2 linked regions of the Macaca fascicularis genome follow. The protein of the gene in region 1 purifies or fractionates together with the protein of each later gene. This does not show direct contact. Links are inferred from orthologs where the notes say so. Each region holds a gene or a part of one and is shown in the gene's direction. Other genes may lie near its edges.

Region 1 (5,664 bases):
GCCCGGGCTGGAGTGCAGTGGCCGGATCTCAACTCACTGCAAGCTCCGCCTCCCGGGTTTACGCCATTCTCCTGCCTCAGCCTCCCGAGTAGCTGGGGCTACAGGCCCCTGCCACCTCGCCCGGCTAGTTTTTTGTATTTTTTAGTAAAGACGGGGTTTCACCGGGTTAGCCAGGATGGTCTCGATCTCCTGACCTCGTGATCCGCCCGTCTTGGCCTCCCAAAGTGCTGGGATTACAGGCTTGAGCCACCGCGCCCAGCCACTAGCTGATTTATATATATATACCGGCCGTGGAGGTTGCGGTAAGCCAAGACCGCGCCACTGCACTCCAGCCTGGGCAACAAGAGCGAAACTCTGTCTCAAAAGAAAAAAGAAAACAAAAAACCTGGTAGTCAATTTACTAAAATAGTTGACTTAAGCATCTGCAGTGGCGACTTCCACCTCAACTCCTGGCTCAATACTGATGGAAGTAACCTGCTTAACAATCTCAGAAGGACTGTGCAAGTCAAAGAGTCGCTTGCGGATTCTCACGTGGAAACGATCCCATGTCTTAGAACCTTCACTACAAAGAGTTTTTCTTGTAGTGATTCTCAAAGTCTTGGCAGACATTCGAACTGGTCCTTTCACTTTGAGATTCTTTTCCTTTGCTCCTCTGATCAAGTCAGCACACACCTACTCCAGGGATTTTATGGTGCAGCTCGTTAAAGTGACTCGAATTCGTGAACTGCCGCCTCCGCCTCCATGGGTGTTTTTCCGGTATCCTTAAAATCCATGGCTACTGCGCGGCTTCCTGACCCTCTGGTTCCTGGGCGAGAGCTAACAGCGGTGAGCCGGGAGCAGGAGCGTAAGGATTGGCGATCCGCAACACCTACGACGGCGTCTTTCTCAAAGAGCTATTTATATATATATTTTTTGAGACGGAGTCTAGCTCTGTCGCCCAGGTTGGAGTGCAGTAGAGCCATCTCGGCTCCCTGCCACCTCCGCCCCCCGGGTTCCAGCGATTCTCCTGCCTCAGCCTCCCGAGTAGCTGTAGCTGGGATTACAGGCGCGTGCCACCACGCCCAGAAAATTTTTGTATTTTTAGTAGAGACGGGGTTTCACTGTGTTGGCCAGGCTTGTCTCAATCTCCTGACCTCGTGATCCACCCGCCTCGGCCTCCCAAAGTGCTGGGATTACAAGCGTGAGCCACCAGGCCCGGCCACTATTTGTATTTTACACTTGATCTTGGCCAAAAGGCCAAGAAGCGATACTATTTATATTTTTATAATACTTATCCCCATCTAACATACTACATACTGCAATTATTTATTATATCTTTTGTTTAGTGTCTAATATCCTCCTCCACCTGCACCCCAGCAGAATGTAAGCTCCATAAGGACAACAATATTGATCTATTTTGTTGTCTGATGTAATCCGCTGTACGCCCTGGACAGAACCTGCTACAAAGTAGGAGCTCAGTAAGTATTTGAATGAATGCATCGTGGCACGGGAAGAACCCAGAAGAAAGGGGCGGCTGAAGCTGTGAAAGGAGCAAGTGGCCTGGCGCGGGGGCTCACGCCTGCAATCCCAGCACTTTGAGAGGCCAAGGCGGGCAGATCACTTGAGGTTAGAAATTCGAGACCAGCCTGGCCAACATGGCGAAACCCCATCTCTACTAAAAATACAAAAATTAGCCCAGCGTTGTGGTGGGCGCCTGTGGTCTCAGCTACTCTGAGGCTGAGACAGAGAACTGCTTGAACCCGGGAGACGGAGGTTGCAGCGAGCTGAGAGCGCGCCACTATACTCCAGCCTGGGCAAGAGCGAGACTCCGTCTCAAAAAAAAGAAAACAAAAAACAAAAAACAACTGTGTGTGTGTGTGGGGGGGGGGGGGGGGCGGGTCAATAAACAGAGCAATACTGTATATGTAAAATACAGAATGGTATGGTACCAAGAACACATAGATGGAATGATCTGTAGCACTTCTCAATTGTATTACATTGAACGAAACCGTTTGGAGCTGGTTCTCCCCCCTCCCCCACTGTCTTTGTTTCTTTGGGAACCCCCACACGGCACAAACCGTGTTTTAATTCCTATTCTCTAGTGTGCTGATAAGTGCCTGGCACGTATTAAGTTGTCAAAAGAGGTCGTGAGCAAGTTAACAAATCACTGCTTCCATGTCCCTAACTACTCTTAAGCTCCTGGAGAAGAGATTTCCTATCTCTTGCGCTTCTACTTCAACGCCCACTTCAGAGAGGGCTCAAAGTAACGTCGTGAACTTAATACGCAATAAGGCAGCGCCCAGAGGCGGAAGAGGCAGAGTTTTTAGCTCCGGCCACGTGACGAAGGTGGGCGGGGCGTCAAAGTTCATATCCCAGCGTCCTTTGAATCAACTTCCTTTTTTCTTTTTTCCGGCGTTCAAGATGTCGAAGCGAGGTGAGGTTTTGCTTCTGGAGGATCCTCCACCATCTGTCGTGCAGTGGCTGGCGGATTCGTCAGGAGCGGTGGCCCTAGGCAGCTGGGGCGCTTTGCTCTCCTTCAGGCCGGAGAGGGAGAGCCAGGCCATCGCAAGAGCACTGCCAGGGCCCTCGAAAGTGGCAGTGGGGTGCTGGAGAGTTGACATAGCAGGATCCCGACATGAATATAGTCTGGATCCCGCGAGATCGCTCTGCGAATAGGGCTATCGTATTGGGGTTGAAGTTAGACTGGATTAGGCCCTGGTTTGCGCGACCTCTGCGGTCTTATGCTTTGCAGGAGCAATTGCGTTTTGCGAAAGTTGGAACAAGGGCTGAGTCGTCTAGGTTCCTTAATTTCGATGTCAGAGTGGTAATAGTGAGAAATAGGCTACTTTCCGTGAGAATCGGGTGGCACACGGGGAGGGCATAAGTAAAATCCGAGCGAGCTAATCTATAGCATACCATCTGTCAAAGTATGTGCGGTGAATTACAGTTTAAGAGTATGAGAGGGAACTGCGAACCATGTCTAGATAGTGATCTCTTTATCCTGTTTACCTTCCCTTTATATCCACAGGACGTGGTGGGTCCTCTGGTGCGAAATTCCGGATTTCCTTGGGTCTTCCGGTAGGAGCTGTGATCAATTGTGCTGACAACACAGGTGAGGTCTTTGACTGCAGGTTTCTATACTCCCCCTTTTAAAAGCACTCAATGGGCCTGTGCCTAATGACCTATTGAGCCGTCAAGAAAGGGGAGAGTGAAAACATCGCTTTTGGGTGAAGTGGCAACATGTTGTGTTGTTTGCTTCAATCGGTGGTGTGACAAGGCGTTCTTGAGGACTAACTGCTTGGGCAGTCAGTGGAGGGAGGGACTTTGGAAGTGTTTGGGAAATGTAATACTGATGGAACGGCCTGATGGGCCCTCAACATTTTTCATTTTTATTTACATTGATTTGTAGGAGCCAAAAACCTGTATATCATCTCCGTGAAGGGGATCAAGGGACGGCTGAACAGACTTCCCGCTGCTGGTGTGGGTGACATGGTGATGGCCACAGTCAAGAAAGGCAAACCAGAGCTCAGAAAAAAGGGTGAGTAAACACTGAGCCCACCTTAACACTGATAAGTAGTGGGGGGACTCTTTCCTTTATTGGAAAATGGATCAGTTTTCAAGGCCTCAAGGTTGTTTTCCATTGAGAGGCAATGTGAGATAAGTATCTTAAGTTTTTGTTCATATTATGTTGGAGGGGGGACCATCATCTTGTCATTTCCATACTTTAGATTTATTTATTTATTTATTTTTTGAGATGGGGTCTCCCTCTGTCGCTCAGCCCACACTGGAGAGTGCAATGGCACGATCTTGGCTGACTGCAACCTCTCTGCCTCCTGGGTTCTCAAAAAAAAAAAAAAAAAAATTAGAAAATGAAAACGAGAAGCTGCTCATTATTTTATTTTTATTTATTTATTTTTGAGATGTAATCTCACTCTGTTGCCCAGGCTGCAGTGCAGTGGCACATATCTTTCTGTTCACTGCAACCTCCACTTCCCAGGCTCAAGTGATTGCCCTGCCTCAGCCTCCCGAGGAGCTGGGATCATAGGTGTGCGCCACCACACCCAGCTAATTGCTCATTACTTAATCTCAGGCTACCCCCTCATAAGTTTTCCTGTCAGCTGTATGATTTAAAGGGGGAGGCCTCAAAATACTTGCAGTTTGTGTCCTGTCCGGCTTTAGAACTTCTGGTATTTGATGCATTTTAACTTCAGCTCTTGCAGTTTTTTCCTGTGCCTGCCTAGTCTGTCTCTACCCTGGGATGTCTTGCTCTTCTAAAGAGTTCATGGCCATCCCTTGAGTTACAAATATGATGTTGATTTGTTAGCCATGTGTTACAGTTACTCCTATTCCTGTATCCACTCCACGATGCTCTCCAGTAGATTTTTAACCTTTGGGTTAGAAATCTTTTTTTGTTTACCATTAATAGCCACTTGAGGGCTTGGTAGCACTGTGCTTGTGATTCAGCAATTGCATGGGCTTTTTCCTCTTCTCAGAACACTTCCTGGGTCTGATTGGTGGCCCAGGGAGCTGTTAGAGAAGAGCAGAGCAAATGGCCATCACTTTGTAGATGAGATGGCAGGAGAGTGGATTGTTGGTCTCAGTCAGTGGTGGGACAGACCAGAGCTCAGAACACTTCAGTTTTAAAACGAGCTGTGAGTATCCAATTCTGTTAATGTCTTTTTTGGTCCTTGTTTCTGCTAAATGAATACATCCCCTCCCCTTGGAACTTAATAAATAACAAGCACAGAAATGTGCAAAAGGGCCAGGTCTATTTGTCTACTTGATGAATTTGTGAGCATTTAATGGTTTATAAGTAGAGGAGGGTCAGTAAGTATTGGCTGCCTCATGTGTGTCCCATTGCTAACTTGGTTAGACTTATCTATTTTTTGTATAGTCTTCCTGTCATTATAAAAATTCTGTGTAAGGACCCCACGCTAGTATCAGTGAAGATTTGAATCCAGGTGTGTCTGACTCTACAATAGTTCTTCACAAGCATTATATTTTACTGTGTAGTGATACTTGATTTTGAAAGTTGGGAAAAGCATCTTTTTCACTTTAGTACAGATGGGTGTAAAAGTTACTTATGACACTGGAAAGTAAAACTTTAAAAGTAAAACATAAAGCCTGGTGTTTGGGCCCTGGAATTCCAACTGTTTTCCAGTATAAATCTGAATAGCTTGGTCTCTGCTCATTGCCAGGACTGGGAGCAGTTGGGGGTCCCAGGTCCCATTTCTACATCCCAAGTCAGTGATACTGGGATCTTAATAACCCACCTGTGAGGTGAAGTTGGAAAAGGCATAGGCAAGGATAATTGTCCTCCTGAGAGTTTTACACTTGCGAGAAAATACTGGCAGCTTTGATTTTAAGATGTGAATAGATGGTTGTGGTTCATGCCTATACTCCCAGCACTTTGGGAGTAAAAAAAAAAATCTGGGCATGGTGGTGAGCACCTGTAGTCCAAGATACTGGAGAGGCTGAGGTGGGAGGATCACCTTAAAGACTGATTGATATTTATACTATCTCAAACACTGACAGTACATTCTGTCTAGCTGGCAACTGCTTTTGTGGTGGCGTTGCGACTTGACAGGTTAATGACTGCTGTCTTTTTTTCTTCTCTCAGTACATCCAGCAGTGGTCATTCGACAACGAAAGTCATACCGTAGAAAAGATGGCGTGTTTCTTTAT
Region 2 (5,865 bases), on another chromosome or scaffold:
GGTAAAACCCCGTCTGTACCAAAAATACAAAAATTAGCCAGGTATGGTGGTGGGTGCCTGTAATCCCAGCTACTTAGAAGACTGAGGCAGGAGAATCGGTTGAACCCAGGAGGCGGAGGTTGCAATGAGCCAAGATCATGCCACTGCACTTCAACCTGGGGAACAGTGAGACTCCTCAAAAAAAAAAAAAAAAAAAAAAGTTAGGGCCAGGCACGGGGGTTCATGCCTGTAATCCCAGCACTTTGGGAGGCCAAGGCAGGTGGATCGCGAGGTCAGGAGATCGAGACCATCCCGGCTAACACAGTGAAACCCCGTCTCTACTAAAAATACAAAAAATTAGCTGGGCATGGTGGTGGGTGCCTGTAGTCCCAGCTACTTGGGAGGCTGAGGCAGGAGAATGGTGTGAAACCAGAAGGTGGAGTTTACAGTGAACCGAGATAGCGCCACTGCACTCCAGCCTGAGTGACAGAGCGAGACTCTATATCAAAAAAAAAAAAAAAAAAAAAAAAAGGTTGGGATGGATAGTGGTGATGGTTGCACACCAATGTGAAGGGACTTGCTTAAAACATTGAATGAAGGCCGGGCACCGTGGCTCAAGCCTGTAATCCCAGCACTTTGGGAGGCCGAGGCGGGCGGATCACAAGGTCAGGAGATCGAGACCACAGTGAAACCCCGTCTCTACTAAAAATACAAAAAATTAGCCGGGCGCGGTGGCGGGCGCCTGTAGTCCCAGCTACTCAGGAGGCTGAGGCAGGAGAATGGCGGGAACTCGGGAGGCGGAGCTTGCAGTGAGCCGAGATGGCGCCACTGCACTCCAGCCTGGGCAACAGCGTGAGACTCCGTCTCAAAAAAAAAAAAAAAAAAAAACATTGAATGAAACCATAATCCTGGCCAGGCACGGTGACTCTGGGATTACACCTGTAATCCCAGCACTTTGGGAGGTGCAGGTGGGACGATCACTTGAGCCCATGTCTCAACAACACTGTCTCTACCAAAAAATTTTAGCCAGGTGTGGTGGCACAGGCCTGTGGTCTCAGCTAAGAGGCTGAGGTGGGAGGATCACCTGATCCCAGGAATTTGAGGCTGTAGTGGGCTGTGATCCAGCCACTGCAGTCCAGGCTGGGCGACAGAATGGGGCCCAGTCTCAAAAATTACAAAATAAAAAAGTCACATTGTTCGCAAGATGTTTTCCCGCCTTTATCCCAGATGTGTGACCTCGAGCAAGAAAACCTTTCTGTACCCAACCGCCTCATCTATAAAATGGGGGTAATGACACCGAGGCCACAGAAGGCGACGGTGAAGTCGAGTTCCAATGCTTGATGTATACACATCCCAGGGTTTGCACTGCTGTTTGAGCCCCACGGGAGCAGGCGCTGCCTGCTAGCACCTTAGGTACCTGCATCTGACCCCCTGTTCCTGGTGCTAGCCCCGGCTATTGGCAGGGTTGGCTCCTTATCTCTCAGCTTAGACTTTCTCAGGCTGCCCAGACCAACTCGCGCTCTGTCCCTATCCCTCGGATCGCCCCCTTATTCACCTCCTGCGTCCTCGCAGAACTGAAGTCCTTAGAAGGCAGGGCCAACCCTGTTCCCTCCCAGGACCCGAGAATGTGGCAGGGTCCCCTGATGTGCTATGTCCACATGGACACCAAGGTCAGTTCTGGGCCGAAGCGGCCAGCGCAGGGGCTGACCGCTCGGACCTCACTCCTCCCAGGGGTGAGTGGGCGACGCTGCCTCAAGTCATTGTCCTGCCCTCCAAGGTTCGCGCTCGTCCTCTGGCAGGACGCCCTGGCCCCGCAGGACGGGGGTGGCCTCCCAGGTAGGGCTGCAGTCGCTAAGTCCGAGGCGGCTGGCTGACCTCACTGAGCCCGGCTGGACATGGGGCCACCGGTCGCCGCGGCCAGGGAACCACCAAAGAGTCAGGGCGAGCCTACCGCGAGCAGCCCCCGCTCGGGCCCACGTGCCGTTCCGCGTAGGCCGGCGGCGCAGGCCACTTCCAGCAGCGGTGCACCATGGGACTTGCAGTTCGCGGGCGAAGGTTGCGTCCGGGGCGTGGCAGCCGCGCTGCATGTTGGGCGCTGTAGGCGCCGCGTGGCATGCTGGGAGCGCTAGGTACCGAAGGCAGATGCCGTCCCTTTGGGCTCGCTTCGTCCGTCGCCACCACGAGTTTCGGGGGACCTTCGCCCCACGCTATAAGAGCAGCCACTTCCGGAACTACTGGCCTTCGCCTGTGCCGCGGAAACTGTCTTGACGGGGCCGGGGGCGAAGTGTCAATGGCTTCTCCTCCATCGTCATTGGCTGAGCGCCTCGTGACGCCATTCTGAGGCGCCTCATGCGGCGCCCCGCTCGGGTCCCGGAGGCTTCTGGGTAGCGGTTTACCCCCGCCCCTTGCATCGGCGCCTTCCTTTTCCTCCCTGACACCGCCGAGGTTGCACGCGTGAGGCCTCTCCGCCGCCGCCGCAGACGCCGCCGCGTGAGTGTGATGACCCGGCCCGGGGTGCGGGCTGGGGACGCGGGGTCCGCGGGCATGCGAGGTGGGCGGCGGGGTCTTTCCGGGACGGAGGCCTACTGGTCGAGCCACACGCGGCCTCGTCCGGCGGCCCCGGGGTGGGCAGGCCGGAGGCCACCGGGATAACACCGCCGTCGCGCCCTCTCCGCCCGCCTCAGAATGCGCTACGTCGCCTCCTACCTGCTGGCTGCCCTCGGGGGTAACTCCTCCCCCAGCGCCAAGGACATCAAGAAGATCTTGGACAGCGTGGGCATCGAGGCGGACGACGACCGACTCAACAAGGTAGCTGCCGCCCTTGCCCCGCAGCCGCCGTAGAGCGCCGTACAGGCGATTTTTCTGCCTGATCCGGCCACATGCTGGAGGGTTCGGGGAGAGGCTTGTTTCAGTCCAGTCGGCGATGTCTCGGGTAGAGAAGTAAGCAGGGTGGGGGCCAGGTGCACTGGTTCACGCCTGTAGTCCCAGTACTTTGGGAGGACGAGGCGAGCGGATCACCTGAGGTCAGGAGTTCGAAACCAGCCTGGCAAACATATGGAAGCCCCATCTCTACTAAAAATACAAAAATTAGCCGGGCGTGATGGTGGGTGCCTGTAGTCCCTGCTACTTGGGAGGCTGAGGCAGGAGAATTGCTTGAACCCGGGAGGTGGAGGTTGCACTGAGCCAAGATCGTGCCACTGCACTGCAGACTGGGCGACAGAAAGAGACCCTGTCTCAAAAGGAAAAAATAAAAAGCTGGAGGGGTACGAGGCAAAGTCGTGATTAATGAGCTTTGGAAGTTTAATACAAGTGAGATGCATAAGATTCCTTAAAAAACAAACAAAAAAGGCAGTCCTGGTGAGTGGCTCACCCAGCACTTTGGGAGGCCAAGGCGGGTGGATTATTGGAGCCTCGGAATTCAAGACTAGCCTGGAAAACATCATAAAACCTGGTCTCCAGAAAAAGTTGAAAAAAAAAAAAAGTTGTAGGCAGTGGTGCACATCTGTAGTCTCAGCTACTCAGGAGGCTGAGGCGGGAGGCTCATTTGAGCCTGGGAAGTCAAGGCTGCATGGAGTAGTGATTGTGCCACTGCAGTCCCACAGAGCCAAGCCCTGTCTCTAAAATACAATAAAAAAAATCAAGGCTGGGCGCGGTGGCTCAAGCCTGTAATCCCAGCACTTTGGGAGGCCGAGACGGGCGGATCACGAGGTCAGGAGATCGAGACCATCCTGGCTAACACAGTGAAACCCCGTCTCTACTAAAAAATACAAAAAATTAGCCGGGCGAGGTGGCGGGCGCCTATAGTCCCAGCTACTTGGGAGGCTGAGGCAGGAGAATAGCGTGAACCCGGGAGGCGGAGCTTGCAGTGAGCTGAGATCCCGCCACTGCACTCCAGCCTGGGCGGCAGAGCAAGACTCCGTCTCAAAAAAAAAAAAAAAAAAAAAAAAATCAGCCAGGTGTGTGTGCTCACACCTGTTGTCCCAGACTGAGGTGGGAGAGTCGCTTGAGCCCGGGAGGTCAAGGCTGCAGTGAGATCCCACCACTGCACTCCAGCCTGAAGTCAAAGTCAGTTTCATTGACAGCTTATTTTGCCCGTGTTGAAGATACCTGTGAGTAGTCAACATTAAGCGGTGAGACACCGTGTGTTCCCTTCTCAGTCCTAAGTCTAAGAAACCTAGTGTCCATTTATTTTTATATCACTTACCAAGCGAGGGTGGTGGCTCCCTTTGGGCAGTGCAGGTCTAGAAACTTCAGGGCGTATTCCTCTGTGGGGGACCCAGTCCTGCTGTGATTCTGGAAGGGATAGGGCCAGGGATACATTTGCACTTTCCTGGTAACAGCTGTGTGATTATCTGCTCCAGGTTATTAGTGAGCTGAATGGAAAAAACATTGAAGACGTCATTGCCCAGGGTGAGTTGATGTGGAGGGACTTTCATTTGTTTTCATGGTCCATCCTAATCCCTGCTGGTCCGTCTGTGGCCTGCCAGGTTTCGCTTGTGGACCAGAGCACCCTAGAAGCCTCACCTGAGGAGTGAGCAGGGCTCCAGTGGGCTCATGTCATGGGCGCTTCTAGACACTCCCAGGAGCAGGGCAGCAGGGGGCACCCTGTGTTCTCAGTGGACGTTTAGGTGGCCCTGCCTCTGAAGCTTGGTGTCTGGAGAACTGAGTTCATGTCAGCAGTTCTTACCGCATGCTTTCTGTGAAGGAGCTGGGGGCAGGGACTACGGGTGCCAGGGATGTTCACAGGCTTCTTGCCTCTTTGTTGGGCAGATGGTTTTTTGTTGGTGTCAGCTGAGCTGGTGGGAGTTGTTTGGAAGTTGAGCTGTTGGGGCAGCTGTTCCTGTCTTCCATGCATGTGACCAGGACAGGGCTGGCTCAGCAAACGGGCCAAGCCATGAGCACATGGCTGTGGCCAGAGATGTGGACACTGGAGCAGCATGCTCATTGTCCAGGCCGAGCATGGTGGCTCACACCTGTAATCCCACCACTTTGGGAGGCCGAGGCGGGCGGATCACAAGGTCAGGAGATGGAGACCATCTTGGCTAACACGGTGAAACGCCATCTCTACTGAAGATATGAAAAATTAGCTGGGCGAGGTGGCGGGCGCCTGTAGTCCCAGCTACTTGGCAGGCTGAGGCAGGAGAATGGCGTGAACCTGGAAGGTGGAGCTTGCAGTGAGCCGAGATTGCGCCACTGAACTCCAGCCTGGGCAACAGAGCAAGACTCTGTCTCAAAAAAAAAAAAACAACAACAAAAAACCATGTTTGTCCAACGGACATCTGAGGGTGGAGGTGGGGAAAGTGGGCAGGCAGGTAATGTGGGCCTAATTCCTAGAAGGCAAGTTTCTGGATAGGAAAAGTCCCTGTTGAGGAGTGGCTGGGGGAGGGAGTGTTCCGGAAGAACGGGAGACTTTGGCATATGGTGGGTCCATATATGTTGGGTGCCCTGTGCCATCCATGGTGCCATCTGACTTCCCTGTGGAACAGCTTCCCGGACTGGGCAGCTGCTCTGGTCTCACCTCTCTGCTTTCTGTAGGTATTGGCAAGCTTGCCAGTGTACCTGCCGGTGGGGCTGTGGCCGTCTCCGCTGCCCCAGGCTCTGCAGCACCTGCTGCTGGTTCCGCGCCTGCTGCAGGTAAGTGGTGGCCTAGTGAGTGGGCAAGGGGCTGGGGCTCAGACAGTGTTGCTGCAGTGGGGTCTCCATGGGGGGACTGGCCTGGCACTTGGGCAGTGCTCACCACGCCTCTCTTTTCCACAGCAGAGGAGAAGAAAGATGAGAAGAAGGAGGAGTCTGAAGAGTCAGACGATGACATGGGATTTGGCCTCTTTGATTAAATTCCTGCTACCCTGCAAATAAAGCCTTTTACACATACCTCAAGTATTCCAT

Evidence for each region. Proteins that work in one complex are often made in the same cells at the same time.
Region 2: the proteins of RPL23 (region 1) and RPLP2 fractionate together in Homo sapiens (co-fractionation; 4 studies listed by BioGRID). This does not show direct contact. The link is inferred for Macaca fascicularis from reciprocal best matches to the Homo sapiens genes RPL23 and RPLP2.

Annotation. Positions count from the first base shown.
Region 1 is NC_088390.1:59,849,606-59,855,269, reverse strand, and holds the start of RPL23 (large ribosomal subunit protein uL14), read left to right. Parts: upstream 1-2,373; 5' UTR 2,374-2,400; coding exon 2,401-2,413; intron 2,414-3,007; coding exon 3,008-3,091; intron 3,092-3,122; exon of another isoform or gene 3,123-3,257; intron 3,258-3,388; coding exon 3,389-3,517; intron 3,518-5,599; coding exon 5,600-5,664.
Region 2 is NC_088388.1:710,368-716,232, forward strand, and holds RPLP2 (large ribosomal subunit protein P2), read left to right. Parts: upstream 1-2,394; 5' UTR 2,395-2,469; intron 2,470-2,663; 5' UTR 2,664-2,664; coding exon 2,665-2,787; intron 2,788-4,340; coding exon 4,341-4,389; intron 4,390-4,424; exon of another isoform or gene 4,425-4,558; intron 4,559-5,514; coding exon 5,515-5,613; intron 5,614-5,736; coding exon 5,737-5,813; 3' UTR 5,814-5,850; downstream 5,851-5,865. UniProt on the Homo sapiens protein: Plays an important role in the elongation step of protein synthesis.